Linked DNA regions of Mus musculus: all the other regions are reported to be linked to region 1. The links are microRNA targets in miRTarBase. Many come from high-throughput screens and were not tested one by one. Region 1 holds a microRNA gene; each other region holds the end of a gene's coding sequence.

Evidence for each region. The annotated mature microRNA mmu-miR-149-5p reads UCUGGCUCCGUGUCUUCACUCCC and lies in region 1 at 1,906-1,928, shown strand. An mRNA with a match to its seed (bases 2 to 7 or 8) in the 3' UTR can be bound and repressed. Matches are read on the target gene's strand: a 7mer-m8 pairs with bases 2 to 8, a 7mer-A1 pairs with bases 2 to 7 and ends in A, and an 8mer does both.
Region 2: miRTarBase lists Mtch1 as a target of mmu-miR-149-5p. Seed matches in the 3' UTR shown: 7mer-A1 at 3,356-3,362.
Region 3: miRTarBase lists Camta1 as a target of mmu-miR-149-5p. The part of its 3' UTR that is shown has no 7-base or 8-base seed match.
Region 4: miRTarBase lists Adar as a target of mmu-miR-149-5p. Seed matches in the 3' UTR shown: 7mer-A1 at 1,728-1,734.
Region 5: the mRNA of Stam2 is a reported target of mmu-miR-149-5p. Seed matches in the 3' UTR shown: 7mer-m8 at 2,653-2,659.
Region 6: the mRNA of Bahcc1 is a reported target of mmu-miR-149-5p. Seed matches in the 3' UTR shown: 7mer-m8 at 3,331-3,337 and 8mer at 2,225-2,232.
Region 7: miRTarBase lists Slc30a4 as a target of mmu-miR-149-5p. The part of its 3' UTR that is shown has no 7-base or 8-base seed match.

The regions. Positions count from the first base shown.
Region 1 is chr1:92,848,476-92,852,882 of GRCm38, forward strand. Mir149 (microRNA 149) reads left to right here and starts at 1,903; the gene lies at 1,903-1,968. The region is part of intron 1 of Gpc1 (glypican 1); the gene reads left to right. It overlaps Gm29480 (predicted gene 29480), which reads right to left and starts at 322. Exons shown (of 4, transcript NR_166170.1): 1 at 226-322.
Region 2 is chr17:29,329,027-29,333,433 of GRCm38, forward strand. It overlaps Mtch1 (mitochondrial carrier 1), which reads right to left. Exons shown (of 12, transcript NM_019880.4): 12 at 3,050-3,752. The coding sequence ends at 3,681. Among named protein-coding and RNA genes, the nearest start is that of Gm46603, 4.3 kb to the left of the region's middle.
Region 3 is chr4:151,059,321-151,063,727 of GRCm38, forward strand. Camta1 (calmodulin binding transcription activator 1) reads right to left here. Exons shown (of 24, transcript NM_001081557.3): 24 at 203-3,535. The coding sequence ends at 3,503. Among named protein-coding and RNA genes, the nearest start is that of Vamp3, 3.6 kb to the left of the region's middle.
Region 4 is chr3:89,750,746-89,755,152 of GRCm38, forward strand. It overlaps Adar (adenosine deaminase, RNA-specific), which reads left to right. Exons shown (of 15, transcript NM_001146296.1): 14 at 1-10; 15 at 184-2,710. The coding sequence ends at 430. Chrnb2 (cholinergic receptor, nicotinic, beta polypeptide 2 (neuronal)) reads right to left here. Exons shown (of 6, transcript NM_009602.4): 6 at 2,703-4,407. Among named protein-coding and RNA genes, the nearest start is that of Chrnb2, 12 kb to the right of the region's middle.
Region 5 is chr2:52,691,195-52,695,601 of GRCm38, forward strand. It overlaps Stam2 (signal transducing adaptor molecule (SH3 domain and ITAM motif) 2), which reads right to left. Exons shown (of 14, transcript NM_019667.2): 14 at 1,012-3,743. The coding sequence ends at 3,515. Gm46741 (predicted gene, 46741) reads right to left here. Exons shown (of 3, transcript NR_166060.1): 3 at 3,382-4,407. Among named protein-coding and RNA genes, the nearest start is that of Gm46741, 5.7 kb to the right of the region's middle.
Region 6 is chr11:120,288,992-120,293,398 of GRCm38, reverse strand. Bahcc1 (BAH domain and coiled-coil containing 1) reads right to left here. Exons shown (of 28, transcript NM_001347621.2): 27 at 3,855-4,091; 28 at 1,102-3,722. The coding sequence ends at 3,516. Among named protein-coding and RNA genes, the nearest start is that of Gm11772, 53 kb to the right of the region's middle.
Region 7 is chr2:122,681,682-122,686,088 of GRCm38, reverse strand. It overlaps Slc30a4 (solute carrier family 30 (zinc transporter), member 4), which reads left to right. Exons shown (of 7, transcript NM_011774.3): 6 at 1-91; 7 at 756-4,407. The coding sequence ends at 910. Among named protein-coding and RNA genes, the nearest start is that of 4930417H01Rik, 19 kb to the left of the region's middle.

The sequences.
Region 1 (4,407 bases):
CTTTTTCTGCCGCCGCGCCCACTGCGGCAAGCCCCTTCCCCGCCAATCACATCGCCCTCTCTCCTCTCCCTCCATCTCCCGCTTTCCGCAGCCCCCCTCCAAATGCCCCCCTCTGCCTGCCGCAGCACTCAGCTCTCCGCACCAGCCGCGCCCACTGCACCAGCGCCCCCTCCTCACTGCGGCGCCAGAGCAGGCGCCTGCATCTGCAGCTCCGGCTTATCTTACCGGCTCCAGCTGTACAGAACCATCCCCGTTGCAGAGGAGGCAGCGGTCGGTCGGAGCTGCAGGTGTCGCCCAGGCTTTGTTCGCCCAGGGCCTGGCCTGATGCTGGAGAGGCAGCTGGCAGGAGCCCTTGCCTGCCCGGAGATGACCCCTCCCATCGAGTCCATAGAAGTGCCAGCAGCCGATGCCCCCCAGTTAGGGGGTCCCTGTTCGTGATGGAGGTTCTTCTTGGTGATGTTGCCATTTGGGTGAACCGGAGGCAGGGGCTCGGGAATCATGAAGGCATCCAGGAGGGTGGAAAAGTATTGGGAGTGAGGTGGGGGCGGGGAGGGGATTGTGCTTGATGCTTTTCCAATTTCAGAGATGGAGTTGAAATGTCTTCCTTCGGGTGTGACCCCCGGGGACTAGACAGGTTTGTTGGGGAACAGGAGCAAGCAATGGGAAAATGCCCCTGGAGCCTGGGCAGTGAGTAGTCCCCCAGAAAGCTGGGCCATTTGCTCCAGGCTGTCACGTCCTGGAGACTCTCAGCCTCTGGGGCTGGAAAACCCAGGAGCACAGAGGGCTGGTTTACTTCTAACCTACCAGTCAACAGAAAGGCCTGCTCTAGGAGCCAGCAGCTGGGGAGGGGAGTGTAGCCTGTGCCTCTCCCTTATCTGCGGTGCTGAGAGATTATACTCCGAATGCCCCTACACTCCCCCAAGCCGTGCCAGCTGGAGTGTTTTAGGGGCCGTGAGGGAAGTGGGCTTTCCACTCTGCATCTCCCCCGTGAGCACAGGAAGCTTCTAGAAGAATGGACCAGAGGCGGGGTAGCATGACTCTGCATTATCTTCAGAAGGTGGAGGGTTTCAAGGCATTGGGTCCCTGAAGTGTCAGGGGAGGTCAGGTCAGAGATGTCTGTGGGTAGCATCAGGATGCTGGACTCTGCTAAAGTCCTGGGGTGACTGTGGATGATGACCAAGAGGGATGCTGCCTCTGTGAGGGAGGAGCAGGAGCTGGAGCTGTCAGCAGGTGGCAGGAGGGTGTGACCCTGAAAGGTAGGAAGCCACAAGCTGCTGTCTGCTCTGGAGAATAGTGGGGGGCCGGGGGTGGGGTGCAAGCAGCCAGATTTGGGAGGAGGTAAATGAGCAGTTGCTGCCCATGGGTTTGCTGCAATGGGGTGCCATGCTAAGTGTCACAAGAAGCAGGGGTCTTGGAATTTGAGAGGCTTTGGGGTTGGGGACAAGGCTTAGAAAAGGGACTAAAGTGGGGAAAACCTGCCATTAACAAACAACCCCCTTCCCCAAATAAAACCTGTGAGTGCCAGGGGAGGGTAGTGCCCCCCAAAAACCCAGGAGGGAAAGATCTGGAAAAATGAAACCAACTCTGAGAGAGATGGGCGGGGTCAGTGGGGAACAATACTGCCGCTCCACTCCCACCCACCTTCAGGGCTGGCAAGGAGGAAGCTGCTGGTAGGGTAGAACGGAGAGACGTTCCTACGATGGGTATGTACTCCAGTGCTTTCCTGGAAGTGTAGAGAGCTTTGCAGAGCCTGCCTTAGCTGTTCTGATGTTGAGCACCTATGGTTCCAGTTGGGCTGGGTCTCAGCTCCTCTATCTTTGACCCTCAGCAAGCAGGTCTGCCAATGCATGGGCTTCTGGGCAGCCTGACCCAGCCTGCCCGGGGCCCTCAGGCCAGTGCCCAGGCTCTGGCTCCGTGTCTTCACTCCCGTGTTTGTCCGAGGAGGGAGGGAGGGACGGGGGCGGTGCTGGGGCAACTGGAACAGCGCAGGTCACCGGGCTGGCTGGGTGAGGTGGCCAGGCAGAGCCAGGGGGCTGCAGGGGAGGCCATTGGATGGGGTATGCTCATAGTAGCTGGCCAAAAGTCTCATGGGTCCCATTTATCCAGAACCTGCCGTGGAGTGGGGCGAGTTTCTGTTTCTGAGTGTGTGTCCTTAATTAACTTCTTCCTGTTTCAGCTTCGTTCTTCTGTCTATGTGGTGAGGGGTGGCAATTGGGACCACTAAGATGGAGAAGGATGTCAGAGGAGCAGAAACCATGGGAGGGGCCAGTAAGGCTGTGCCCACCTCTCTCTTGCCAGTGCTCTGTTGTGCAGCCTGGTCCTCAATATTTCCACCTAAAACCTTTGGCCTACACACACAGAGTGCCTCTGTCCCAGCTGAGCCCAGGATGGCCCCATCCTGATACCTGCAGCCTCCATCCCCATAGCTGTTTCCCCACTCACTGCTGAAGTCAGAGATGGGTCATCCTCTACAGTGCCCCCCATGATTCCTCCTCTAACAGAAAAACCCTTAAACCCCACCACTCAAAGAGAGAGATGTGGCATATCACCTCAGCCCAGCAGACCATGGCCCGGAGCAGAGCAAATAGAAGGCCCTGCTGGGCCCTGTACCTTGTTGTGCCTGTAGCCTGCTTGCGGGTGGATAATCTCTGCTTAGCCCTCCCTACTCTAGAAGGAAGGGAATCAATCAATGGATGCAGATCAAGTGGCAGGACCTAGGCTTGCAGCTCCCAGCTGTCTGGGCACCAACCCAGCCCTTTCTTGAGGTTGGGTGCTTAATAACATGTTGCTTCCCAGGACCTGCAGTCCCTGTGAAAGGCAGGTGCCCTGGGCAGGAGGAAGCAGTGTGGTAGGAGCAGAGGGTACCAGGTAGGGGAGTGGTGGGAGGGGCATTCCGTGTGCACCTCCCATCTCTGACTCCCTTTTCTCTTGACTCCCCCAAGCACCCTTGAATCAGAATACAATTCCTTCTGTTCTTCTACCAGCTGTCAGCCACTGCCCTGCTCTGTGGACCTTTGGGGACCCTGAAACCAGGTGGGACTCAGCCTGTGAGGCCAAAAGTCCCCAGGGTTCTGGGATGAAGCACAGCTCCCATGCCTTAGTAAGCAGGAGAAGGGCTAGGCCAGGCCCTCAACCTGAGACCTGGAAGAGCAGATCTGAAGGTTGCCCTACCTAGGGATGGAGGGGTGGCATCTGGGGATATATACCTTCCATGTCAGGTCAAAATCACAGAGGCTGTACACAGTTCCACTCTGCAATATGCACACACACACACACACACACACACACACACACACACACACCATCCAGCACACATAAATGCTTGTGCTTACTAAGTGCTAAAGACAAGGATGTGATCATGTAACAAGCTCTTAAGGGTGAATGCAACCTCAGAATCTCTCCTTAGTCAGAGATCTCCACTCCCAGTTGGCTTCAGGGGAGGGGGGTTCATAGAAATGGGGCCTAACACATAATGGCCTCATCCTGAGGTCACAGGTTCCTGCCCCCACATGCTTCTTGACAAGATGTCCACTCCCCTCTGGCTCAGTCCCCCACCTCTGATGGCAGCCTGCAGTATCACATCCTGGAGTTCTTCACATCCCACCTTTCCCATCAACCCGTCAGCAAGGATAAAGCCCAGGTACCAGCCCTGGCACCTACTCTGGGCTCTGGAAACTCTGCATTTCACTGGCTCCCCATAACATCAAAATCAGCATTCCTGCACGAGGGAAGCTTCTAGAATCCCTGCTGACCGCTCCCTCTTCTCAGACCTTTCACCTAAGGCTGGGCCACTGCCTCTGCCTTTTTGATCCACCCAGTCCCTTGTAGGGACTGTAGGGCTCTGTCTTTAGGCTCAGAGACAGCAGTGTGACCCTATGAGAAGGGAGTAGAACAGAGTGGGGTCAGGCATAGGCCCAGTCCTGAGTAGCTCAGCCCCCAACTGGGACAAAAGCCAGTCTCCAAGCCTCAGATTCCCTGTAAATTGGTGTCACTATAGCCTTAGCAGAAGGTTTCCTCTCCCATTGAGGTTTTCTTCTGATGCCAGGAGACTCTCAGGTGTGTGCTGTAAGGGCTCCATGGTAGACACTTTGAGGCCAATTGTAGGCCCAAAGCAACCCTCTGTCAGCAAGTGGCAGTTGATATTGTCCTGAATGGTACTGCTGCAGTGCCACCAAGGGCTGACAGGTCAGCTCACCAGCCCAGGATAGATGGCGGGGGAGGGAGTTTCAGCCAGAACACTATGGGGACTGGGAATGTGTCCAGCTAGTGGGAACCTCAGGCCAGGGTTGAGTGGCCTCTGTTTGGGACCCAGTGCCTGCGCAGAGCATGCTTTTCTTCACCCCAGAATGGTACCCAGGGCCCTTGCAGAATGCTGACACAGGCCCTGCAGAACATTCATGGGGCACT
Region 2 (4,407 bases), not on the chromosome of region 1:
TCCTTCTGGTAACTTCCACTCCACCCAAGCCAAGCCACAGGTTGCCTTGCAGGAAGAAGAGCAGAAGGAAGGACCAAAAGTTATCAGTGGGGTTTACCCCTATGGCTTTGGGGATTGAGACATTTTCCACAAGGGGACTGATGCTCAGGCCTGTCCTGGTCACAAGTTTCAACTTGGCAAGGTTTTGGGCAACTTAGGTGCTTTGAAGGAGCCCTGAGACAGAGCTCCGAGGCCCAGAAACCTCTCTGGGGATCAGAATGGAGTGGTCCAGAAGTTCTGTGTGGTCAGGAACACAAGGGACAGGAAGTAAGAGGGGCTAGGAAGGAGTCTTGGCCAGGCTAGTACAGCATGGCTACTTCTCTCAATAAAGACCCAGAAGTCACCCATTGATCTATGTGTCTGGGGCCAATGTGACAGCTCATGGGTAAAAGCACACAGCCCTCCATCCTCCATTCATGTGTAACAGTACACAAGTACCGTGTTCCCATCATCTTTATTTGAGTGTATTTGTTGTTGTTGTTGTTTTTTTTTGTTTGTTTTTGTTTTTTCTGAGATCAGGTCTCTGTGTAGCTCTGGCTGTCCTGGAATGCTATCTGTAGACCAGGCTAGCCTCGAACTCAGAGATCCACCACACCTGGCTGGAAAAAACCTGAAGCCTACAACTCAGAGTTCTGGATATGTATTTATTTAGTGTCTGTGTGGGTGGGGGGTGCATGCAGAGGTCAGAGGGCAAGCCTGCTGGGATAGCTCCCCCCCCCCCATGCACTTTGTCAGGCTTGGTGGTTACTGAGCCAATTGGCCGACCCTAGCTTGACATTGTTTAGTATACTCATTGGGGGACTGTGTAGCTCTGCTAGTACTAAGAGGGGACTTTTTCATTACCTTACCATAGAAGCACCTTACCCACTATTGCCTGCTTTTCCCACCCCCTTCAGCCTAAAACAACTGCTGACCTATTTTCCATCTGTACGCACCTTTCCTATTCCTTCCGTTTTTTGGGGGGTGGGGGGACTCATGCTCTCGTGGAGACTGGAGAACCTCCTCTCCCCTCACCATATGGGTCAGGCTCGGTAACAAACACCTTCACCCGCTGAGCCATTTCATGGGCCTGCACTTGCTGGTCTTTGACTTTCATTTAAGTCCTCCACAAATATGTTTTGTGACTACCTAACATCTCTTCAAGGTCCACCCATCCTTGTATGCGCTGTGCATACAAGCTTGTGTGCTGTGCTCATGCATGTGTGCACATGTGCAGGCCAGAGGCCAGTCTCAGGTTATCACCTTGTTTTTTTTTTTGTGTGTGAGATGGGGTCTCTTACAAATACTGAGGCTTAGTTTGCCTAGGATGGTTATCCAATGAGCTTCAGGGATCTGTCTCCACACCCCGCCCACTGCTGCTCCTAATGCTGGGGTTACAGGCCTGCATCACTGCACCTAGCTTTGGTGTGGGTGCTAGCTCAAACTCGGGTCCTTCTGCTTGTGTGACAAGTGTTTTTCCCCCTCTCTAGTCCCCACCATTGAAATTGTTTTGTTCCTTGTCTGGGTGAAAGATTTTATTGTGAAAGCATGTTGACTTTTCTCAAAGGCCTTTTCTGTTCCGATTGAGATGGTCATGTGGTCAGAGTATATGACATTAACTGATCTTCAGATGCTAAAGCAACTGCATTCCTGGGAAGGTCTGTTCTCTTGAGCTAGTGTGTTGGGCCTGGGCAGTCAGGGATGGGGGTCTCTGGGCCAAGCAGACCCAGCCTATACTGGTTTCCCTGTGGCTCTTCCTGTCTCTTGCCCAGCAAGGGCATCTGCTGGCCGTCTGCAGTTCTGCCCTGTGAATGTGCCTGCCAAAGATCAGGAGATTAGTCACCCATTTATTTATGCACCTGGGGCCAGTGTGATGGATCAGGGAGGAGTCATGCTCTAACAGATGGGCAGGGAGGGGACCTGCCAACACAGCTGAACTGGAGAGGGAGAGGGAGAGGGAGAGGGAGAGGGAGAGGGAGAGGGAGAGGGAGAGGGAGAGGGAGAGGGAGAGGGAGAGGGAGAGGGAGAGAGGGAGGAGAGAGAGAGAGGAGAGAGAGAAAGAGAGAGAGAGGCAGGCAGGCAGGCAGGCAGGCAAGCTGGCTGGTATCCCAGTAGCCTCTGAGCATTGTGGCAACTGGCAGTGATAACGAGGGACAGTTGAAGGAGGACAGCTTAGGCCACAGCTGTCTCCTTATCAGAAAGCCTCAAAAGGCCTGTCATAGGCCTTTCCAACTTTCCCGAAGAATAAGGTTACCCATGAGGAAAGTCTGGCTTCCTCACGGACACCTCCTCCCCTCCAGTCATCCCTCCCCGCTGGTAGCTCAGCTCAGGCCTGGTCAAGCCCAAACTTCTTAATAGATAAGAGGATAATACCTGGGAACAGTAGGGCCTCATGCTGAGCAGTCACACCAATCAAAGCCTTTCACTTTAGGCCAGGCAGCCTCCTACAGACCTCAGGGAAGACAAGTGCTGGGATTAAAGGCGTGCACCACCATGCCCGGCTTTCCCACAGCCCTGAGAGCTGTCCTGAAGGTCCCAGCATTTACCCTTTTGCTGAGACATTGCTACACCTTTGCTTCCAGCTCTGCTCGCGGTGTTTCTGACTATTATGGAGTCTTACTAACGCTAATGAGAATGTAAAATATGCACATTGTTATACAAACAAGCCTTGTGCTCATAGTGGCCACTGACACCCCTGGAGGCCCACGCCCAATGGTCCTGTCCCAAGGGCAGGGACCATGTCATTCTGTCCCCACGGAGACCTAGCAACTAGGTCTGTCAGGTCACACATTATGCTGGTCAGAAGGTGACTGGCCACTTCACTTCCTTCCCTGTGTCTCATGTACCTAGAGGCTCTGAAGGCCTGGGAACATCTTCAGAAGGTGTTAGGTGCCACTTGGCAGCTTTGGTGGGACTCTGACACAAGGACTCAACCATGTCACCCCACTTGGCCCAGCCTGGCCACCCACAGACCTAAGATACCAGCACAGGGTCTGGCAAAACTCACATAAATAAGAGGCTTGCACAGAAGTCCAAATCACCACCAATACATTTATTCGAGGAGATGGGTCTATCTTACCACGAGGGGAGGACTAGATGTCGGCCTATGTAACCTGTGCGTATTCGCACCCAGCACAGTGACTGAACCCTCACACCTGGCGTCACCAGCACAGACAAGCAGATGAGGGGATGGTCTGAGGAGAACATGATTTCCTATTCAGGAGAAGGCACCACCCTTGTATAAGAAAATTAGTGTTGGGAACATAGCTCCAGCCTCCCATGGCCCAGGTGTGATGGCGCCCAATTTACAAAGCAGGAAGTGGGGGGCGGGGGTGCTTCTGGCTGACTGGCAGGATGAGCTGGGCTAGAGGTGCAGGGAAGCCTTGCCACTGAGTGACGTTTGCCTCTGCAGCCTGCCTCTGCCTGAGTACAAGATGGACTCCAGTACCTCTAGGCAGGAAGGGGATGCCACCCCAACACTGCTCCCCCAGGCTTCCCCAGGTCCCAGGTGACCCACCTCCACCAGCCCACATCTGGACAGACACATGGCAAATATGGACATGAAGCCAGGCTGGGCTGGAGTCACCCTTGGGCATCTGAGATGATGGGTCCTCACCAGGGGTAGGCTAAGACCCCATAAATGTTTGGTCGGGCAGCTTAGGTTACTCCAGGGCAAAGCATGACCCCGATGACACCCGGCGGAAAAGCAGGCTGGAGCCGCGGAAGAGCTGGCCCTGGAAGGGAAGAACAGTGTCAGGGGTGCTGGAGGGAACCCTGCCTTTTACTCTGTCTGTGGTGAGGGCACTCCTATGGATTCTGAGATCCAACTTAGGTGTCTGGGGCTTCCGTGGCAAGCACTTTTACCCACTGAGCCACCCTGCTAGCCCCCAGTAAACCTATTCACAGCCTAAAGACCACTCAGCACTCCTGGCTCCTCCTCATTTGACCAGTGGCAAAGCAAGGCCAGGAAAAGGCAAAGGCCCCTAGCCCTGAGCCTGGTCCCTGTCCACTCCCCCACTCCCACTCGCACCTCAGGAAGAGCTACAGCCAACAGGAGGCTTCAGGATAGAGCCCCAGAAGCCATGGCTGCTCTAGAAGGCTCATACCAGACCCAGACGAATCCTAAAGATCCCCCAGGGCTGGAAGGGTCCAATGGAGGAGTTTGGCTGAGCACATCCCAGGTACCCTTGGTACTGGAGGAGTGAGTTCTTGGGCTCTGCCACCTACCGCCTCCAAAGGCAGTCTGACCTTTATTTAATTTCACTCAGTTGCCTAGGGCCCAAGTTTTGGCCTCCTCTGACTTTCTCCCCTCAGCCAGAGCCAGAACTACTTAGGACCTACTTAGTACCCTGCAGCTTTTACTATTTACCCTCTCCTAAGATGGTTCCT
Region 3 (4,407 bases), not on the chromosome of region 1:
GTAACTGCATTTAAAATAAATCGATGTGTTAAGGAACCAGGCAAGGTAGGTAGAAAGGAAGTGCTTTGGGAAAGTGGCTCTAAGTGAAAGGCTGGGTGGGAGAACACTGCATGTGGAAAGTAAAATAATACTTCCAGTTCTAACTATGACCTCACTGTCAACACCTTGGATTTCAGATCAGGTTAAAGCAAAACACAGATAATATGGGGAAATTTTCTTCATTTTTAATTTACAGCAGAAAGAATATAAAGCATTCAGAAAACATTTTCCATATTTTTAAGGGCAATTCAAAACATTTTGCATGGTTTCCAGCAGCTGAGTTCTTCAACAGATCCATTGACTCAATGATGCTTTACATGCACAATTACAAAAATAAAACTTACAAAAAAGGAGACATCTAGACTAGTTTTACATGCAAGTCTCAGGGACCCCCCGTTGGGCGCCAACTACTGTGTGGAACTGCCATAAGCGACCGTGCAGCCAGAAAGGGGTTCATCTTAATGTCTTTATTTCATTCACACAGTACAGCTGATTTTGAATGGGTAACAAGGATAGCAATTAAATCTTCAGGAGACAGAATAAGATTAGCTATTAATTTTATCATGAAATCCTACTCCTGGCACTTGGGAATTCAGATTATCCAAGAAAGCTGCGCCTATCACCTTATATTCAAAATTAAGAGTTACAATCAAAAAAGGTGGTCATAAATGCTTTGTGTCAGTGGAAGTATGCTTCGACCTCACCTAGAATTCACAGTTGTACTGGTAGGTTTTGACCCTACTTCTATCTCCTCCATAAGAACTTCCTAATTCTATGTAAGTCTTTATCTTCCAGAGTTTTCTAACATATTCAGCTAATGTGGCATGTGAAACACTAAAAAATAAATGTGAGGGTTGAAGCAAATCCACTGAGGTCATTGCTCTGGTCAAATGATTGGTCATCTGAACCATAAGCAATGGAGTAAATGTATCCAGATCCATGATTGAGATAGGATATTCTGAAAAGAGCTGGCTTTACATTCTATTCCCTGTTATGAATACAATTGTTTATGTAAATTACTCAGTGTCCTCAGACAGGTCAAATTGTGTAAAATAATAGGTGTGGTGGGGGCGGGGGTAGGGGGGTCGAGGATTGCAACAGCTGCAACATAACCCACACATGTAAAAACAAAATTGGGTCGGGTCAGCTTACAAATGTACAGGTGGCTCCTAGCTGTGGGGCTGTCGCTGTTCCAAGCTGATCACAAGCAGAAAGACATGTACTGTACAGTAATTTGAGGTTGGCAGTGAAAGGAAGTAATTAAAAAACAAGTACAATTATAGAAAAGGCACCGAGAGCACTGACCCCAGTTTTTATTATTATTATTATTTTTAACCACAATCCTTTTGTTTCTACCTTCCTTCTGAAGACACCAGCTTAAAGCTCATTTGTGAATATTTTTAGGCTTCACAACAAGCCTCGAGTTTTAACTCACGGTTGGCAGCCAGAACCATGTTGGTTTGTTTTTTGTTTTTTGTTTTTTAAAAAAAGAAAATCTCATACCAACCAATTCTCACACTTAACCTGGGAGTTTTAAACTGGCATTAGCAAATGCAAAATTGGTTCTCTCATAAGTTAGCTTTGAAAGCATCAGATTTCTTTGGCTCCTCATTACCTGGAAAGTACTGTACCGTGGCACCCTTCCGTCAACACCAATCTCCACCGGGTTTCCCTTTTATTTTGTCGAGTGAGCAATTTTTATTCGTGGTTTTTGTTGTTGTTTGTTTTTTAATTTCCAGCAGGAGATATGAAAATGTGATATTTTTCTCATTTTGTCCTAATTTTTTTTCCTAAACATTGATCATCCTAATGTTCTTTGTTGGTGTGAGTGGATGGTGTTAAGGTCTCTAAGGATTCATCTTATGATTATCTATTTTGCAAAAGTAACTTAATTTTTTTAAGCAATATTAGCATTCACATTACTTGGCACCTTTGGCAAAAAAATTTTTTTTAAATAAAATAAAATAAACTCCTGATAGCCAAAATTAAATGTAAACATATCCTTTTTTTTTTTTTTTTAAAGTAATGCTACTCTGCCTCTTTTCCTAAGTCTAAATACAGTAGCTCCTTTTTATTTTTTGCAGGTCATGCTTTAGCAAAATGTTCTTCTACAGAACATTTAAAATAAAGTACTCTTATAGTGAAATAAAGTTTTTTTTGTTTCATTTTACAGACCATAGCCACTAATGCTTTGCTTTTGTTCTTTTTCTTGAATTCATGCACATCTTTGTTTTAATATATACAATATATACAAACAATACATCCACATTGTTCTCGCTCAGACAAAACTATACAAATAATTTCATCTTGCCATGTTATTGACCTCTGTGAATAAAATATTTAGCAATTAATATAACCCCTTTCAAATATTTTCTCGCTTTTTTTCTCCATTTCTACCTTTTGTATGTACACAGAAACCACTCTGTTTGGATGAGATAGAGCCAAAACATGGAATTTACTGGCCAGAATGCAGCACCACACTGGTCGTTTAGGTGGCAAATGTCCAGGCAAGGTTTATGATCTCTTGGAATTACTAAGGTTTCCAAGGTTACTAAAAAAGGCTACATGCGTTACCAAGTCTTAAGTAATCCTCACTGCAAGATAGTGGGGCAGACAAACTAAAGTGCTGACCATGAGAAGGGACAGGATGGCCACTATCCTTGCAGATTCCTGGGAGGTGGGGGGGGGGGCAAGAAAATGAATTTAAATCCCGTAAGCTGTTTCTCATTATTTCCCGTGCATTACCCGTTTACCACACACCCACCCCTCTGCAAATTTTCACAAGACATTAAAAACCTGCAGATTTTAAAAGTTGCATTAAGTGTGCTGTAGAGATTCAAACGAACGGACGGACAAACCGACAGACAGAAAGAAAGAAAAAAAAACGAAACAGAAACTCAAAAGAGAACAGTGAAGGAGATGAGGACAGGCGGACTCGCACAACTCGGGTGATCTAAGCCCTCCACTGAGAACCAAGGATTCAGCTTCTTGGAAGTCACCGCAGGTGCAGGCGCAGCGCTCCTCGTGTGGCTGACGTCGCCCCGCCTGTTCTTATCTATATTTTTGGTATAAATATTTGTACAGTTCCACACGATGTTTGAATACAGCCCTAATGACAAGGAAAGCGGCTTCCTCCTAAGATGAAGCCCTTCCAGTTCCTCCTGGTGTCTTGTTTTTCCTGTGATCCAACAGAAGATTTGAGTTCCAAGATGTCTTGCTGATCAAATTAAAAGTTGTCCATGAGAGTGCAAATGTAATGACCAAACATTCTCGTTAAAATCCTGCAGCTGACTCCCCAGAACTGCAGAGGGATTTTGTGTGTGTGTGTGTATATATGTGTGTGTGTGTGTGTGTGTATGTGTGCACGAGCGTGTGTGTTGTTGTTGCATGTCTCTGCTAAAAACAGAAATGGAAAGAGTCTGAGAAGCAATGTCACATTGCTAAGGGATGCTGCTGTATGTCTTCAAGTTCCTTGGCCTTTTTCAATTCTTTCACTCTGGAAGAGAAACAAAACACAACACCAGGTGATAACTACAGAGTGGAACTGTGACCAGATAAAAGGAGAGGGGCTATGGCCCCCGAAATGAGATGCCCAGACAAGCCCCTTCTGAAGACTGACACTTGTGAAATTGTTGGGGGAATATCCAAAGACGAAGATGTGACCCTGTGTAAAAACATGGAACGTTTCACCAGGGGTGCTCCAAGAAGAAAGCAAAGCTATTTGCTCTGTTGTTCTGACTCAAGGGTGGTACGTATAGCTTGGGTACATTTAATTCCTTGAGGAACTTCTTCCTCTGTCTGATGGACTGCTATAAATGCCTCACAAATCCATGTGATGTAAACTGGGGAATTAGCACACAATTTTCCAGCTCTGAGTAGACCCAGGGACTGAATCATTATTTCACTCATAGACTCCAGGCTGCTGGCTACCTTACACCTGACCCTACAACCTGCGCTAAGTTCCTTCCCTACTCTACTATGTTACTGTGTCTTGGATCCTCATAGTTCTTGGTTCCCTCCCATTTCAAACTGTAACTTTGAAGTTCATGTTCCTTCTCAGAGCTCCCAAATGGGCAGCATTAGGATCAATACCAAACAGGGCCTTTGTTTTGCTTATCACATTGTGGCGAGCTTTAGAAATTGCTGCTCCAATTTCTATTTTTTAAATGTAAGACTCTGCCTTAAAAAAAACAAAAACAAAAAAGTGGTGCCTGATGAAATGAGGTGCAAGGGAAGTATTGTAGGATATGAGACTATCCCTCTGCATGGACGATGGCAAGTGTATTCATGGCAGAATAGTCAAATGCGTCAGCCAGTCTCCAAATGCCGCAGAGTAACATCTTCCCAGAAGCTGGCATGAGAGGAAGG
Region 4 (4,407 bases), not on the chromosome of region 1:
CTGTGGATGGGTAAGGAGTGGGAGGGCACAGGAGAGGCCCAGGCAGGCTTCCTTCCAGACGCCCAGGGGCAGGCCCCTGCCTGCTAGTACTGAGTTCAGGGCCATCCACCCTGTGCAAAATCCACACCTTAGCCCCCACCTCACCTGCTCCCAGATGAATAACACGTGCCTTTGTTTCCCCAGACCAGGGAAAGAGTTGTCTCGGGTGTCCAAGAAGAATATTTTCCTTCAGTTTAAGAAGCTCTGCTCCTTCCGAGCCCGCAGAGATTTACTGCAGCTCTCTTATGGTGAAGCCAAGAAAGCTGCCCGTGACTATGACTTAGCCAAGAACTACTTCAAGAAAAGCCTGCGAGACATGGGCTATGGGAATTGGATCAGCAAACCCCAGGAGGAAAAGAACTTTTACCTCTGTCCAGTACCCAATGACTGATAGTGGGGCGCGTTTCTCCTGGGGTCAGAGGGCGGTCATGGCATTCCTCATCACACCGGGCCAGAGGATAGGAGCTTTTTTTACCCACTCCCCCCTTTTTTAATGGTAGAACCATAATAGATGGTACCAAGAACTGCTTTCTTTGGGATTTCAAGGTGGGGTCCAGCCAAGTCCCCACCTCCCTTTTCTCAAGGGAAGAGGCCAAGATTAAAGGAAATGGAAATGCTACCATTCCATATGTAGCACAGACAGTTCTTGGTCACATGGAGCCCAGGCCCCTCGGGCTTCGTTTTGCGGAGGTTTTTTTCATCTCCTTTTCCTTTGCTGCACTGGCCTCTTGTGGGTTTGATTCCATCCCATCAGTTCTCTGTAAATGATGTCAGGGGCCAGTGATGTCACCTGCAGATGCGCAGGCAGGCCCCTGCTCTGTCATCCTTCCCTCCTAGGATGCCTTCCTGTGATGAGGTTTCTCCTTCCCCACCCCAGAGGATAGAGGTGAACATAAAGGATTGGTGAAATGTTTACAAGGGCAGGAGTTGACAACCGTGGTCAGGGATTGTCGAACAACAGGAATGTGGTAAACTGTGGTTGGGACAGGCAAGCCCTACCCAGTAACAGGCCGTGCTGGCCCACCAAGGAACTTCCCTTCCTGGGCAGCAGGGAAGTTGAGAATCGGCCAGTGGGACCGAGGAAGGTACCCAAACCAAGCACGTCCCAGTAGGGGTCCACAAGCACTAACTAGAGTGCACCAGCATTCCATGGAATGTCGCTATGCCTCCATCTGCCCCTCCATGAGCACTCCCAGAAGCTGGCCCTGGGCACGTGTGGTGTTGGCCCCAGGCCCCAGCTGTTTGTGAAAAGCAGAGGGTGAGCATAGTGGGCAGAGCAGCTTTGCCCAGACGGCAAAGGTAAAGGCAGAGCATCCTGCCGGTGCACTGGGATTCTTCTGGTCTCAGCAGAAGTGACAAAGCCCTGCATAGAATTAATGTTTCTAAAAGGCCAGAGGCATTGATTCTGAACTGCATCAAAGACTGGAGATGCAAATATTACTTCTCCATTAGTAAATGTACTTTCATTCTATCAGATGGCTTCAGAAGCTGGGTCACGGACAGGGCACAGGGCCCTGGAATCTCTGCCCTGCTCCTTTGAGGATCTTCATTTACATACAAGTGTTGTAGGTGGCAGGGCAGGCTGGCCTCCCACTCTGGGATGGGCTTCTTTGACTCCTCCCCCTCTGACAGTGACTTGTGGGTATGTGGGAGCCTCTGTAGAATCTGGTTCTAGCATCAGATCAACCAGCCAGACCCTGCTCCATTCTGCCCCTCTAGGACCAAGCCCACCTCTTTCCTCTGAATGGTGTGGCTCCATCTGGAGACAGCTGGCCAGTGTGTTCAACAGTTTCCTGCACCCCCTTGCTTAACCCTCAGAGCTGCCTGGTTCCCCCACCCTCTGGCCCACTGCCAACAGCAAACATCACATTCGTACTTCAAGTCTAATGGCTACTGCCTCCTCAATCTATGAACAGATCTGGCCAACACAAGAACCTGTGTCTTCACAATACACTGGGGATGTCTTTGCACAGCCAAATCATCCTATGAAACTCCAGCGTCTGTGGAAGTGAGAAAGCAGCACCATGCTTGTGGTGTCGGCTGGAGGCGTGTCACCCTCCGGCAACTGCATCTGAAGCAGAGCCCTTGTGGTTTCCAGGCCTGGACAGGGAGCTCTTCCCCTGGGGTCTAAAGGACAGAGATGTCTCTCCCTTTGATTCCTTTGGTCCCTCTGGTCCTCCCTGGGTATTCACACATACCCCAATCCTGTCTAGACAACGAGTGGTTCTGGGTTTCTGCAGATGGAAGAGAGCAAGGTGTCCCTGAGTTCTGTGGACTTGACCCCCGCATCCCACCCTGACCCTGCCTCCAGTCCCGCTGGCCGAGGGCAGAGCCTCCTCCCACTGTGCTTCCTTCACGTTTACTTTAAGAAGCAGGGCCTCCCTCCACACCGTCTCTTAATACTTTCTGTAGTTGATTTGTCTGAACCGTGGCTGTCTTGCATTCCTTGAATAATCATGTGTAAGAATTGTCAATGCTTGAAACTATTTCCTGTACTCAAGTTGAAGGGACTTTGTTGGCCTTGGGGTTTTAGCAGTGACTCCAAGAGCAGAGTGGGGAAGCACCCAGGCATAGCCTTGGCGCTGTGATGGATGCAGTCCCTCCCTCTGTCCCTTTACAAGTGACAGTATACATTCCTAAAAATAAAAACACTGAAGCATCAGGACTGTTACAAAGTTTTATATCTTGGTTCTTGGGGGAGGTGAGATTGGGAACAGGGACCTGTGACAGGATCTCTGGCCACAGCCACAGTAGTTTCAAGGGCCCCACTGCTTCTACAGTCTGACTGTAGTTCAGGCAGTGTGATGTGCCAGCCAGTTGGGGACTCGGCTATGTCCTCAGCACTTTCCCTGCTTCAAAACTTTTCCCACCTGAGCCCACTCTGTCATCTTTTGTTCCTAGTTTGGGGGTTGTGGGGCTTAGTAGATTTCAAAGCCCCAAATGAGAAAACAGCACTGGAGACAGCAGAAATCTCTGCTCCTGCCAGTCTTGCTGGTGTTGCTCTCCCCACAAGCCTCGGCCTTTACTGTCCTGTACGTGCCCTTTGGAAGGCAGTTGCAGCTGGGACCACGACACATTCAGATGCACCTTTTAACTTTGTGGATGGCATCGAAAGTCCCCCTCTTAAATTTTAAGGAAACCCAGCTCTTAGTAACTTACTTCAGAACTCCTGGAAGACCTATCTTTGACCTTTCAACAGTGACAACATACCCAAAGACACTGAGTGTGAACTCTCTCATAATCCTTTAGACAGATGGGTCAGCTGAGGTCAGAAGACCCAGTGACATGTTTTGGGGCACAGCACTTAAGTCCAGGGCTTCATGTGGTAGTCACTCCCTGTTTAACTGAGCTGAGCAGTTTTAAAGGCAGTTCGAGGTGACAACTCCTGCTGTCCTAAAGTCTCAGTGGCTCTGTCCTCCAGCAGCCACTGGGTCCAAATTCGAGGAATGGAGTATTCCAGTTTCTGAGGGTGTATCCAGCTTTGTGGGCTAGAAGTGTTGCTCAGGATAAATTGGCATCACGTACAAGTGGATTCCGTTGATCCCTGGCCCTCAAATTTAAAGATAGATGGTTTCCTTAAAGCCTAGCTGAAGGCCCCAAGGGCTCACCCACAGATTCACTCTGATCCCAGGATCTGAGCACAGCCTGTGCAGTGGGGGTCTGCCAGCTCACTGAAGCCTGGATATTTTAGAACCCAGACTGGAGAGGAAGCCCAAACCCACACCACCCCTGGTGGTTCCTTATAGAGGGTCTTCCCCAGAGGTCCCTTCTGGGTCTAGCCACCTGGCCATTTCTTTTGCATCTAACAAAGGGAGCAGATACCACTGACTGGGCAGTACACACTGCCCTTCACCCTTGCTGACTTTTGCTTTACCCTCTCTTGAGTGGAGATTCTCCAGCATCCTCCCCTTCTATATCTACCAATCTGATCCGGAAGGGTTAGTCCCCTTACCCCAAACAGAACAAAGTAACTCAACATATTTGGAAACAATTTTAAGAGAAATAAGTCCAGCTATGGGGGAGTAAGTTTGTGGCGGGGGTGGGGTGGGGGGGGGACATGGAAAATATTCCAGGAATGAAGACAAGGACGTACCTAGGACAGTGCAGTGGGTGGGTGAGGTGTCCTACCAGTTCCCAAAGTGATCAGGTCCTTTGGAAAGCAAGTGACCAGCACACTGACAGACTTCTCAGACATGATGGGATAATTACTACAAAGTGACACTTGGCTCTGACCAGTTGGTGAGTGGGAAGCTGGTCAGTGCATGTGGGGCTCAACAGTCCCTTCTGCCTAGAAGCAGAAAGCAGAAGGTGATAACAGGAAGACCTGTCACTCTTCTTGGGGAACAATTCAGAGAAGGCTCTTTATAA
Region 5 (4,407 bases), not on the chromosome of region 1:
AGCCCTTTCTTTCCTCAAGGCACTGCAGCCTGTCTCCTCCTGCATGCAGCCTCGTCCACTGGATCCTGCCTTTCATCTTCTTCTTCTTCTTCTTTTTTTTTTTTTTTGGTTTTTCGAGACAGGGTTTTTCTGTGTAGCCCTGGCTGTCCTGGAACTCACCCTGTAGACCAGGCTGGCCTCGAACTCAGAAATCCACCTGCCTCTGCCTCCCAAGTGCTAGGATTAAAGGCGTGCACCACCACTGCCCGGTGCCTTTCATCTTCTTATGAAGAAACCATTCATCACTGATTCAGAGTCCATCCTTTGTGGAAACGGCTCCACTCCAGAACCCTGAGCTAACTTTACCCTCAGACCATTTCAAACAAGGTCACGTATGACATTCTAAGTAAACATGAGCTTGGGACACTTCATTTCACTCAATCGTGTAAGCTACATTAAAAGAAGAAAAACATCTCTCAAATTCAAACTTAGCTTCACAAATTTATAGTAATTTTTCCTTTGGGGAAAAACAAAAAGCCAGAAACTTTATCTATGAGCCAACATTGAAGTAATTAAGAAAGAAATCAACCTTTTAGTAGAATCATTAAGTTGGTGCTGTGTTGTGTATAATTTGTCAGCCTTAAGGACAACACTGGTGTCACACTAAAGCAACAATTCAACAAAGCCCGACCCGGAAGTAGACAGGAGCCTTACACTTTGTCTTTCACTAAGAAAAGCCTTTAAAGAGATTCCAGAGGTGGAGAGGCGGCTCACAACCCTCCCTAACTCTAGTCCCAGAGGAGCTGATGCCCTCTTCTGGCCTCAGAGTGAACCAGGCATGCATGTGGTGCATAGATGCACATGCAGACAAAACACCTATAAACCTGAAACACATAAAACTTCATTAAAAGTCAAAAAAGATCCCTAAGGCCATCTTTCCCCCATTTTGCAATGTTGGGGGGGCGGGTGAAGAAAAAGCTCTATTTATCACTGAGTTATATCCCTAGACCAGCCACATTTACAATTATTTTTCAAAATGTGGATGAAACTTTATTATCATCTTCAGTATACAGTACAATCATTAGTCAAAAATCAAGTACTTGAAATAGCATAATGGAAATACATATTTAAATGCTAAGCAAAAAGATAATGTGTAGGTAATTTTGTAAGCAAATTACCAAATAAAAAGACAACATTGGCTGACTGTTGACTTTTCAAACATACTCCACTTAACACCCAAGGAAATGTTTTATACTATAAAATTCTATATATTTTTAAGAATTTTCTAATATATCAAGATTTATATGAAAAATGAAATTCAAAAATTTTTGTTAGAAAACATTAAATATGAACCCAATGTAGAAATCTGAAGGTAAACTATTCCTTTGGCTGAAAATAAATAGCTACAAACATCTTAAAATAAGTACAGTTCAACTGGATCATGGGAAAATATATATCTTTACATATCGTATTAATACTGAAATCAGATCAATACAGATTTAATATTTTAGGCTAACAATAACTCTGCAACACAAATTTATGAATGGAAAAAAATAAAATGTAGGAGGAAGAAATTTCTACATATATTAAACTTCACAGACACTAATATACACTATTTATATACAGGTCATGTGGCATATTTTAGTATTCCAAAACGGCTAAGCTTCAATGGCTGGTCCCCACTTAATGAGAACGCAGTATTTACACTGACTAAATAAAGCTTTTATAATTTAGACAATAACTGAACATGAAATGCACAAACACTAGCATGAGCTTATTAAACACAGTTTGGAAGGGCAGGGAAGACGCATTCCTCTACACAAACGTTATCAAGGGCAGCTCTGGACTTTTACATTTATTTACTTAATCTTTGAAGAGCAGAAGGCTGTTCTAGAAACAGTAAGGTACCATTTTGCACGCACTCCATCCTTGTAAGGACTCAATGAGTCCAGCTGAAGGGAGAAGGCCGTGTGAAACACAGAAGGTGAGGGCTAAGGACTGAAAAGCCTTCCAGGGTCCTGCATCTGACAACCAGACACTGACAAGATACAGGCTTGCAGGGACGGCCCACGCTCTCTTCTGTGCTGGCTATTTTATGCAGTAGTAGGTTCTAGAATACAGTTTCTTTGGAAAAAAAACATACTTATAACCAAGTATCGTAAACAGATAAACGATAAGATTTCCAAATTGTCTCACAATGGATTTTTAATAAAGTTTAAGGGCTTAAAAAAATATACAGAAGTGCATTCATGCAAAAATTTTAAATTTTAAAAAATCCCATTTAGAACATTTCCCAGTGTAAATATCATGGATCCGAGTCCTGTGCATCTATGTTTTCTAGTTTATGTTGTGTAAAAAGCTGATATAATAAAGTAGTGTGCAAAGCTGTAAGAGAAAATTCCCTTGGGTTTGCCACCAACTCTTACAGTATGTGGAACTGTACTAAGACCTAACGTAAGACAGGAGCTTCAGACAAGCAGCTGACTGCTGTCCTGTCAGCCTGTGGCCACCACACCGCTGCCTGCTGCTCCTGCAAAGGCTCACAACTACTTCTAGGGGACACACAATCCCTTCCCAATGGCACACGATGACAGCTTTCTGTAAGAAAGGAACGCCCACCTCACACTGATACCCATGATGGTTCCTATCACATCAGGTTATGGGGAGTGTCTCCTGGCTCAGATTCACTGAGAATCCCTAAGAAGGAAGTGCAGTGTCTGCATATGTAGCAGGCAGGAAATCCAAAGGACAGCACCTTCATTAGACATCCACCAAAAGACACTAGAAAACAATTCTAAATACCAGGGACACGAGTATGAGAGGATGCCCTTTCTGGGGAAGGCTAACATCTCCTGGGGCAGTCCCTGGCCCTCGTCTGTCAGAGGACTGGCTAACTGCTCCACAATATTTGCATTTACATGGTTTTCACTGGTAATGACAGAAACCATTTTTGTACCTTCCAAATTGTTCTTGCTTCTGTAGACAAGTATCTGCTAATTACTACTCAGCATTACACTGAGAGCAAACCTGACAGTACTGCAAACACAACTGTAATTTAAGGAGCCAACAGGAAATATGCTGGCAAGCTAAAGGCTTGCACTAAAAGATGCTCGCCTTTTAAAATAACAGGGTGTGGGAAATTCAAGGGGTGGGGGAAGTGCAGACAAAAAATGTTTCAAGGTCTTCAGTGCTCCTCAAAAATCACATCTTAAGAGGAAACAACGGGTTCTTTAAAGAGAAAATTCCACACTCCTACCTCATATCATGTAGTGTCGTAAGGCTACTCAGTAAGGGCCCAGAAAGTTCAGCCCGACTAACTTAGAACATCCAAGCTGCCTTTGACCAAAAGGTCAACTTCAAGCCAACTGGACTGGAAAAAAAAACCTTTTATGGCCTTCAGGGTAAGGTGGGGTTTTGTGCTTTATTTATTCATGGTTCTTTTTGACTGAGAGGGGAAACTTTTAATATTTCAGATTAGAATCCCCTAGATTAAACAGCACACCCACAAAGCCGTTCAGCAGGTCCTGGTGCGTCTCTACAGGAGAGGCTGCTGGTGGTAGCTTGCTTGTGGCTGTGCAGCGACAGGTGCAGGAACTGCCACTGGAAAGCCAGCCAGCTGAGGCAAACCGGATGCTGTGTTCTGGAAAGAAGACACATCTGTAGACATCCCCACAGGCTGTGTGTAAGCAGCTGTACCAGCAGCTGCCTGAAGACGAGAGCTCTGGTTCATGTAAGAAGGGTTGGAGACAGTGTCCTGTCCAGTGCTGCAAATAAAGTTTCACAAAGAAAAATCACAGTTACTTTCGCTCAAGTTGCAGCAACAGATCATCATGACAAACATGCCTTTTCCATTTTCTTTTCAAGCTTATGTATCCATCATACTAGTAACTTTTTTTTTTGTACGTTGGTTGGTAGGTTTTTTTTTTTTCTCTGTGCAGCCCCAACTGTCTTGGAACTCACTCTGTAGACCAGGCTGGCCTTAAACTCAGGAAGGGTCAGACCCACCTGTCTCTGCCTTCTGAGTATTGAGATAAAGGCGTCTACCACCACTGCCTGGCATAATTTTTTTCATGTCTACACAGAAGAACAGGACTGGACTCCAGAGTGTAAGGACAGCGCTCACTGTGAAAGCATGAAGAGTGAGTCTGGATCTCTGGCTAACCCCAGGACAGGGAGACAGACGCAGGCTTTCTGTCTGACCAGTGTGACCAGTGTTTCAGATAAGTGAGAGACTATGCTGACAAAACTAGGTGGGTGGCGCTGGAGTGATGGCTCAGCAGGTAAGAGCACTGGTTGCTCTTCCAGAAGAGCAAGCTTGATTCCCAGCACCCACATGTCAGTTCACAGCCACCTCTAACTATTTCCAGGGAATCTCATATCCTATTTTGGCCTAGAAGGGACCAGGTACACACAGTACAGACTGAGACT
Region 6 (4,407 bases), not on the chromosome of region 1:
CTCGAATGGCAGGACACCATTCCCAAAGGTCACGATTACATATAACGCCAGGACTCAGTGTACAGCCCCCATAGCTGACTACTGCACCCTGCACACCTGACCTTAGGGTCCTTACCTATCAGCTTTTGGTGGGACTTGGAATGGGGTGAAGGAAGAATTTGGTGGTAGTCAGATACCTGCTGGACCACACAGGCACTTAGAGCTTACCCTGTTTCCGTGAGAGGGGCATCCCTTAGCAAAGCAGTTCAGGGAAGGGCAGGAGGTTAACACTGGAGAGAGAGACATAGCAGCCGGGCAGGGCTGGGGTGTGTGTATATGCACATCCGTACACATGGAAGTGGGAAGCTGAGGACCCCACTCAACTCCCAGAGCCAACCTTGCTGTTGTGTATGTCCTGCTGGAATTTCATCTCAGGGATTCAGGAGAGAATTACAAGTCCCAGCTGTCTTGCCTGGTCAGTGTTGGGCTTTCTTTGGCTCTGCAGCCTCCTGATCAGGCCACATATGGTCCTGTCTCTTTCCCTCTGATCTTGGCTGCTAGACTTGCAGTCAGTCCTTTGCTTAGCAATGAGAACTTTTTACCCGGAACAGATAGGGTCTCACCGTGTAATCCTTGGCCGGCTTGGAACTTGTTATGAGGACCAAGCCTGCTTTAAACTCAAGGGGGCTCCTCTGCTTCTGCAACCTGAGCGCTGAGGTCACAGGCGTGCGCCACCACGTCTATCAAGACTGTTTCTTATTATTCTTGGCATAGCTGTCTGGCAGGAAAATTTTTTTTTTGTTGTTGTTGTTGATCAAACCCATTCAGCCCTCGGCAAGGCAGGCAGCGTTCACAAATATGGAGCAGCGGGTAGGGCTCTTCTACCACTTGCCCTGTGTTTTGTGGACTCTACTGTACGAACTGGTTCAGGCTGGAAAGGTGACTAATATCCAGACCTGACTAACAAGTCCAGCTCCAGGGTCAAGAAAGGCCTAAGACTGGGGATGGGGTACAGTGGGGTCTCTAAGCCTAAGGCCACCCGAACCCATGCTAGACAGTTTCTCCTCAGCCCACACAGGAATGACCATGTGACACACATAAAGGAGGCAGGTACAGTCACAATCCGGACCACTGAACACCTGTACAATAGTCATATATTTATTCTTAAGCAAGTTATCAATAAAAAATTTAATAGTAAAATGCCTTTACATAGAGTCTGCTGTTCATAAAACCTTTGTTTTTTTGTTTTTGTATTTAGTGTTTACATTGAAAAAAAAAAACAACAAACCAACCAACCAGCCTCTTAGTTTACACATTTACAAGATTCGTGCTTTTTACCACGTTAGCCACAGTTGGGGAGGAGGAGTCACGCCATTTGCGTGTACACACAGAAAGAAAGGAAAAGGATGGGGGGACCTAAAGATAAAGACAGAGCAAGAGGACAGTTCAGCAGAGGGCAGAAGAAACGCGGAGAAGGTAGCACACAGGACAACAGCCTTTCTACTTGCTCCGGGGCTCCTGGGTACTGGGGTTCCGGGCAGCCTTTCTAGTGACAGCCCTGGTCTTGATTCTTAAGTCACCATCTTCCTGATTCCCTGGCTGTGAGCAGGACCCTGGTGGTCATCTCTTCTGATGACCACCAAGGATGGAATATTGCACTCATGTGGAGAACAGAAACCCTCAGGGTGGTGGGACAGCCAGGAACGGGCACCCTTGGTGTTCCTGTGGACCACCAAGAGGGACCCTTGGAGCAACTAGTAAGAAAAACAGAGTCCCTGGGATCAGGATAGACTCTTGGCGGGCCTGAGCAAAGGAAGAGAGGCCGGGGGTTCCCAGTTAGGGCTGGGTGACCTCCAGTACTCCCCACTTCCTAGGAAGCCTTGGCCGAGTGGACACTGGGGAGCACGGGTGCCACAAGGCATTTCTGAGAACAAAGGCTTTTGGTCCATGGGTCTAGCCTGCTCTTTCCATCATGGGAGAAGTGAGGACTGCCTGGCTTTCCTGGTACTTGGGGTCAGGATGTGTGTACAAGAGGCCAGAAGGGACCCTTGTTGTATATACTCTGTGCATGAGCCTGCCATGCTATCTGCCCTGCTGAGTGGATATAAAAAAGGTCCAGAAACTGTGTAGGTGTGGGGTGGGCAGAGGGGGCCCAGGATCAGGGTCTAGGTTGAGAGAAGGGGAGCCGGATGGGCGCCCCCTTGGGTGAGCAGCATCGCCTTTCTACTGTTGTGACTCCAGAACCTCTGGCTCAGCCTCATGGCTATCCACACTTGAGGCTATCCAGAGGTGGTGGGACCCCAGGGAAAGTATCTGGTGGGGAAAGGGGGTGCATCTTAGTGGTGAGAATGTTCTCATGCAGAACTGTGGACCAGCCCCAGACGGGCCCCAAATTCTGGCCCAGACAGGGAGCTGGACCAGCTGCACCATTGGAAGCCCTGCAGCTCTTGGGGGAAGGCAGCTGTTGCCCTGGAGGATAAGGAAGGGGCCGAGAGCTGGTGGGGACGGAGGGGGCCGGGGGCCGCCTGCACCCTGCTCGAGCAAGGCCAGGCTTCTCTCCCTGCATCAAACTGGCCATGGAAACGGAAACCAGAAATAACTTGGAATATTCAGGAAAGAAAGTCTAAACATCCATTTTTCTTATTGATATTTCAAAATATTTGTTCATTTGTTTTGTTTTAAACAGAGGTAAGAGATACGTGGCTGTTGCCATACTCCTGGGCTGTAGAGTGGGGCAGGCCGGTACCGGCCCGCAGGCTGATCCTGGTTCTCATCCTGTGGTTGGAACCCCTGGTCGTTCCAGGGGACCGCCATCACTGCCCCCACCCAAATACTTTCATGGATGGGATGTATTGAAAGGAAATAAACCGCAGTGTAATTTCCTTCACAGTTGGCCCCCAAGAGATTGGAGGGTATGACTGGGTCTCATGTGACCATCCCACGGCCTTTGGCCACGCCCCCATTCCAGCAGCCTCTGCAGTCACAGATGCCCCTGTTGGAATTCAACTAGGCTGAGAACAGTGCACTTCCAAAGAAAACCCCAGGACAAAAACCCCTACACGCACACACGCATACGCGCACGCACACACACACACACACACACACACACACACACCCTCGTCGCGCATCCACCCTTGTCGCAAAGGTGGGGAAAATTCTTTTCCACTTTTTCCCCCATAAAACTTCCCCACAGAAATACAATATTTACATAGAGAAATAAATAGACAACACACCTGATTTCTGCTTTCCCTGGTGGGAGACAGTCGGAGGTACTAGGGAAATATGGCTTGGATTCTAATCTCTCGAGAACTGCGGTGCAGCGGCAGAGCAGCCGGTCCCCGTGGGACCAGCCTGGCTCTCCCCCTGGAGCAGCTAGGATGGGACTCGGGGGGTCTATCCTAGGAGCTCTCTCCAGAGAACTTCGAAGAGAAGCCTGATCCCGCCTTGGGGGGGTTGCATATTTGCTCAGACCAGCTCCTGGCTGGCTGACCTCTTGGCTGCAGTCATGGGCGAGGGTGGGCAGAGGCAGAAGCAGCTCAGCACAGGACGGGCACGCCGTCAGCTGTCACCAGGCGCCCAGTAGTAGGATCATAGGTGCCTGCCAAGTAGTACAGGTCCTGCTGGTCCTGGTACTTGCGGCCCCGCATCATCTGTTCATACTGCTCTCGGCCCACCACCTGACATTTGTGGGAGATGGTCTGCACGTCATTCTCATCTTCGTGGCAGGACTGGTACAGTGCGTTCTGCCGGGCGAGGGAACACATACAGTGTCGGGGCCGACCTCGGCAGAAACATGCCACACCCAAGGAAAGCGCCCATTCCCCCAGAGACCCAGGGCAGGGGCTGGGCCCCCACCGCACCTGCCCACACCTCACCTTCCCGTCACTCTGCCGCTTCCCCAGCTTGGTCTCCTCTGGGTGGTAGAACCATTTGACCTTCACCACCATGTTGCTGCCCCAGGACTCCCACAAGCTCTCGATGCGGCCTATGTAGGGCAGGTTGGGCCGGCCGGCCGAAAGGAAGACCGCACAGTCCCCGATGCGCAGTGTCTCCTTGCCTCGGACAATGGCCTTGTAGAATAGTTTCCTGGCTTTCCCCTTCATGCCTCGTCTCTGCAGGGCAGACCAGCGGATACGGAAGGATGAGGAGGGACACAGGATGCTTGAGAAAAGGTGGTGGCCAGGGAAACTGAGAGCACGCAGAGGGGACAGGTGGTGTGTCTCTGCATGTGTTTGGGAGGGCAGAAAATGGGCACAGGATGGGTGAAGAAGTGTCATGGCCACCACAGGTTCCCTATGAGGTGGGCTACACTCGGAATATCTCTGCACACTGGTCATGACAGAAACACCAGCAGAGTTCAAAGGCAGAAACGTAGATGAGATGCTCACTGCAGCCTGGTTTACAAGGGTATAAAAAAAGCCCACAGAT
Region 7 (4,407 bases), not on the chromosome of region 1:
ATGAAAATAGAAGATGTATATTCTGTGGAAGATTTGAATATCTGGTCTCTCACTTCTGGAAAATCCACTGCCATAGTTCACATGCAGCTAAGTATGTTGCTCATGGGGTTCATGGGGACAGACTTCTGTCCTACAAGTCAGCATCTGAGCTGTTCATATGTGTGAATATTTTTCTGATAAGAAGACTTCAGGGAGGGAGGAGGCTCTTCAAAAGATGAATTGTAGGTGAAAGGGTAACAAGGGCTGGGAAGGCAGTTCAGTGTCAAGCACTGGCACTCCCATGTTTGAGGCCCTGCGTTTATTCCCAGAACTCCAAATAAATAAATAAAAACATTTAAATTGGTTTACCTTTTTAAGAGAAGATGTTACAAATTGATACTTGCCTGCATTTTAAAGATATTACATACATGTACTATGCCATCTTTTATATAATAAAAGCCAAACTCTTATTTAAATCATATCAGAGATTGGTGGCTTTTTAAAATCAAACTAACATATGCACTTAGTCCTTAAGGACTATAAGTAAGCAAGAGGCTTGTAATTGTTTGTAATGTTCTCTCTACTGAGCATGGATTGGAAAGACTAAGGTCATGAGAAGCTCAGATTCTGGGCTTAGAAACTGCCTTCTGCAGTAGAAGGGCTTAAGAGACATCAGATGAGCATATGCTTGTAGCTTGCTGTTGCTTCCTCTGTGTCTTGTCTTCTAATGTATGGCAGTATACAATAAATAATTGGATATTTTCTTGATGTTGCAGTTCCTGGAAGTTCATCTAAATGGGAAGAAGTACAGTCCAAAGCTAAGCATTTATTACTGAACACGTTTGGCATGTACAAATGCACTATTCAGCTCCAGAGTTACAGACAAGAAGTGATCAGAACTTGTGCAAATTGTCACAGTTCCAGTACCTGAGTTCCAGGTGTATGTCCTCGGGGTCTACGGCCTTGTTTATCCTGAAGTACAGACTTGAGAGCAATAAATGTAAACCTAATGGAGTCCCTGACAGCTGTGTCCATGTCAAGCACCAGTCTCCCCAAGACAGACTCCGCTCTGACTAATATTTGCATGATTTCAGACAAAGAACTTCCAGAGTGCTGTTTACAGAATGAGCTGTCACCCTGCAGATACCTCATCAGAAGACAATCCAAGACCATGCTTCATTAATTTGACAGAGTATGCAACATGTACACGAAGACTCAGAATTCAGTATTTGCATCTAACAACGACTTTTTTCAGGCCTTTTATATGAAGTCAGTGCTAGCAAACTCAGTGTTGAACTATTTGGGATTTTTGTCTCTGTGTAATCTTGGCATCCAGTTTCTGGAATTGTGTTCTCTTTTTATAAAAATTAGCCCTCAACAGATTTCAGAAAGTAATTATATCCAGAAAATGGAATAAGCATGTATTCTAAGTGTTTCAGAACTGTTTTATTTCACATATAACTTATAAGCAAATTTTCCAGATAGTACTGGGTTTTAAATCTCAATATTTTTGATTATTTGTAATCTTGTCAGAAATATTCACATAATGTGGTCACTGTCCTTAAGTTATTTAGGGAAACTTTAATATAATTATAAATGGCAGAAATTAGATTTAACCTCAAATTACCTTACCATATGATGATCTAAAGCAGAGAAGCAAGTAGTGGTCTGTAGAGTTTTGGATTCTATCTTCCAGAAAATCACTTCTGTGCTTTATGTAGAATTGTCTTAGGACGGTAAGAGACAACAACATTTCAGCAGTTATTCACTGTCCTTTTTAGAACTGCCAACATTTGTTAGTAATAGTTTGCATAGCACCCTCTCATGTGCACACCAGGTTATCTATACATCTTTCTGAGTACCTATAGAAGCTAAGGCTGAGGTTATTAATGCCCACCATGTAGAGGGCCTTTGTTACTCCAGAGAAAATTTCTGTTATGATACAGGCTGTTCTCCATGGGTTGCAGAACTACAAGTTTTACAGTAATGTCATAATAGAAAGATACAGAGGCATTGGGTGTTCTCTTTAAGAAAACACAAGGTAAAGGTTTTGTTTGTTTTGTCTTGTCTTGTTTTGTTTTGTTTTGTTTTGTTTTGTTTTGTTTGGCCATGTATGTGCACAGAAGAACTGAAATAAGGATGGACACTAAACCTGTGTCTGAGGAAGCAACATAAATATTTCCAAGCTCAAGGGAAGGCAATTGGCAGCAGTTGTGCTAAAGAGAAAGTCATGAATATTCACGATTCATTCCCAGCAGTTGCTTTGAGATGAGCTCATTTCAACCTAGCACTTTGTATGGCTCTTGTCTCCTCAAAGAGTCAGAGTGGAGTAACTCTGTACCAAACAGATTGTGAATAGAAATCCAAATGGTGTGTAAATGAAGAGTGGGAAGTTGAGACTTTCCCTGTGTTAAAAAGTAATAAGAAAACCTGGGTTTACCCAAAAGGTTGTTGGGAATTGATAGGTTCAAAACACAGCTGATGTTTCTCCATAAAACTCAATGGGTATTTGTTGAATTCAAAGTTTACTTTGAAAAAAACAAAAAGTTTACTTTGTTGAATTTTTATTGTGAGTCCATTTAAAATTATAAATACTTGAACTTCAAATTTTCTTAGAATATAAACTAAATAAAATAGTGATTCGCATATGAGTAGATTATAGGCATTTAAGTGGCTGCCTGGGCATTTGTGGCCTTTAGATATGTCTAGGGGAAAAAAGGAAAATGTGCATTTTATTCTTAACATTTTCACACATCAGTTGAGCTCATTTCTTGAAAACATCCTTTTACCATAATATGGGCATATCTGGATTTTCATGTTGATATTTGGTAAAACAGCCTTAAAATCCATTTGAATATTGAAAAAGTTTTCATAAAAAAAAACAGAAGAACTTAAAACTTCTGTAAGTCTTAACTATCATATTCATGTAAAGTGGGTGTACCTGTAATCTCTGCACTTGCCTTTTGCAGCAGGGGCTAGACGTTGTTCTTCATGGGTCCACAAGATGGAGAGCTGGTAGATTTTTACTTGTTTAGCTTGTCAGAACCCATAGAGGAAGGACATTAAGTCAGCAGTTAGATCAGGGACTACACAGCTGTAAGATCTCCGTCTTTCTCCTTTGGAGACACAGTGAGTGGCACAACCTCTCAGTTAACTGTGAGAACTCTTTGCCCTGCAAAGAAGCAGGATCTGAATTGGGGAGATGCAGTGCTAATCGTGCACTGGGAAACATCACAACATAAAACTTGGCAATTCTCCACTGCACTATATTCTAAGGAGTATTTTCAGATAATTAATTACTGTAGACATTAACCCATATTTCACAACTTGTGCCCAATGCAGTCTTTTGTTTTAGGAAGACTCTGTCTGACTAACAATCTTGCTGTCTTAAGAAGCATACCAAGAATGCAGTTGAGTAAGACATACTTAACAGGCAGAACCAGAAGCTATTGTAATTCTTACGGGCAGCTATGTTAACTTTCCACAGCTAAAGGTTTTCATGTGAGCAGATTTTCACATTCACAGCTTCCATCCACATTGTTTACCAGATCACTAGATGTCTTGGTTTACAGTGTTTCTTTTCAGTTTGGGATAGAGGTTTTCATTTTTCTCTCTGACATTATTTCCTGAACTCTCAACGTTGTCTTAAGCCCAGGTGGCCCACGTGTCAGTATTTGTCTTCAGGAGAGCCTTCCCACAGTGGACACAGTCAAGATCAGAGAGAAACACGAGCATCACTCTCAGTTTTCAGAGAGAACTTTCAGCCAATACTTAGAAATACATTTGCAGGTGAGAAAGGTTTTTAAAACCTCAGATCATCCCCTGTCCAGATTTTCTGCATGGGAACATGGTAGAGAATATGAGACAGAAATAGACTGAGCAGCTACTGTGAAGAGCTTTGAGTTTCTCAAAATGCCAGCCAGCATTCTTAGAGATTTTGATCCTGAAGTAACTTCAGCTGTGTTTGGTTTTCTGTATTGATGACCACTCGTTCATCAGCATACGATGTTCTTATAGAATCTGAACTCTGCTGTTGACTACCTTGTATGTAGTCAAGATAAAGCTACAGAATGTGCCACTACGTATGATACCATTTGGTTCAGTTCATCGTTGGACCACTCTTAGTTACAAATAATCAGTGACATCTCACTAGCTCTACTGTGCTAAGTAAGCAGGGAGAAAATCTGGTGTCTAGGAAATGGTTTAATATCTCTGTAGCTAGAACACCATTTGCAAACTCATAATCCCACCTCCAGGTCTGTCTAATGGACCCTATGGGCTTAAGATTTGATTTTGCAGATAGGCATATTGTTTGTGATGTTAGTGGGAGCATGCAAACTAGAGAAAAAAAATTGTAGGAATTCCTCAGTATTATGTGTTTCCATTTAGGCAACCCGTCAGTAAGTTATGGTTACAAAAGATTTGTTG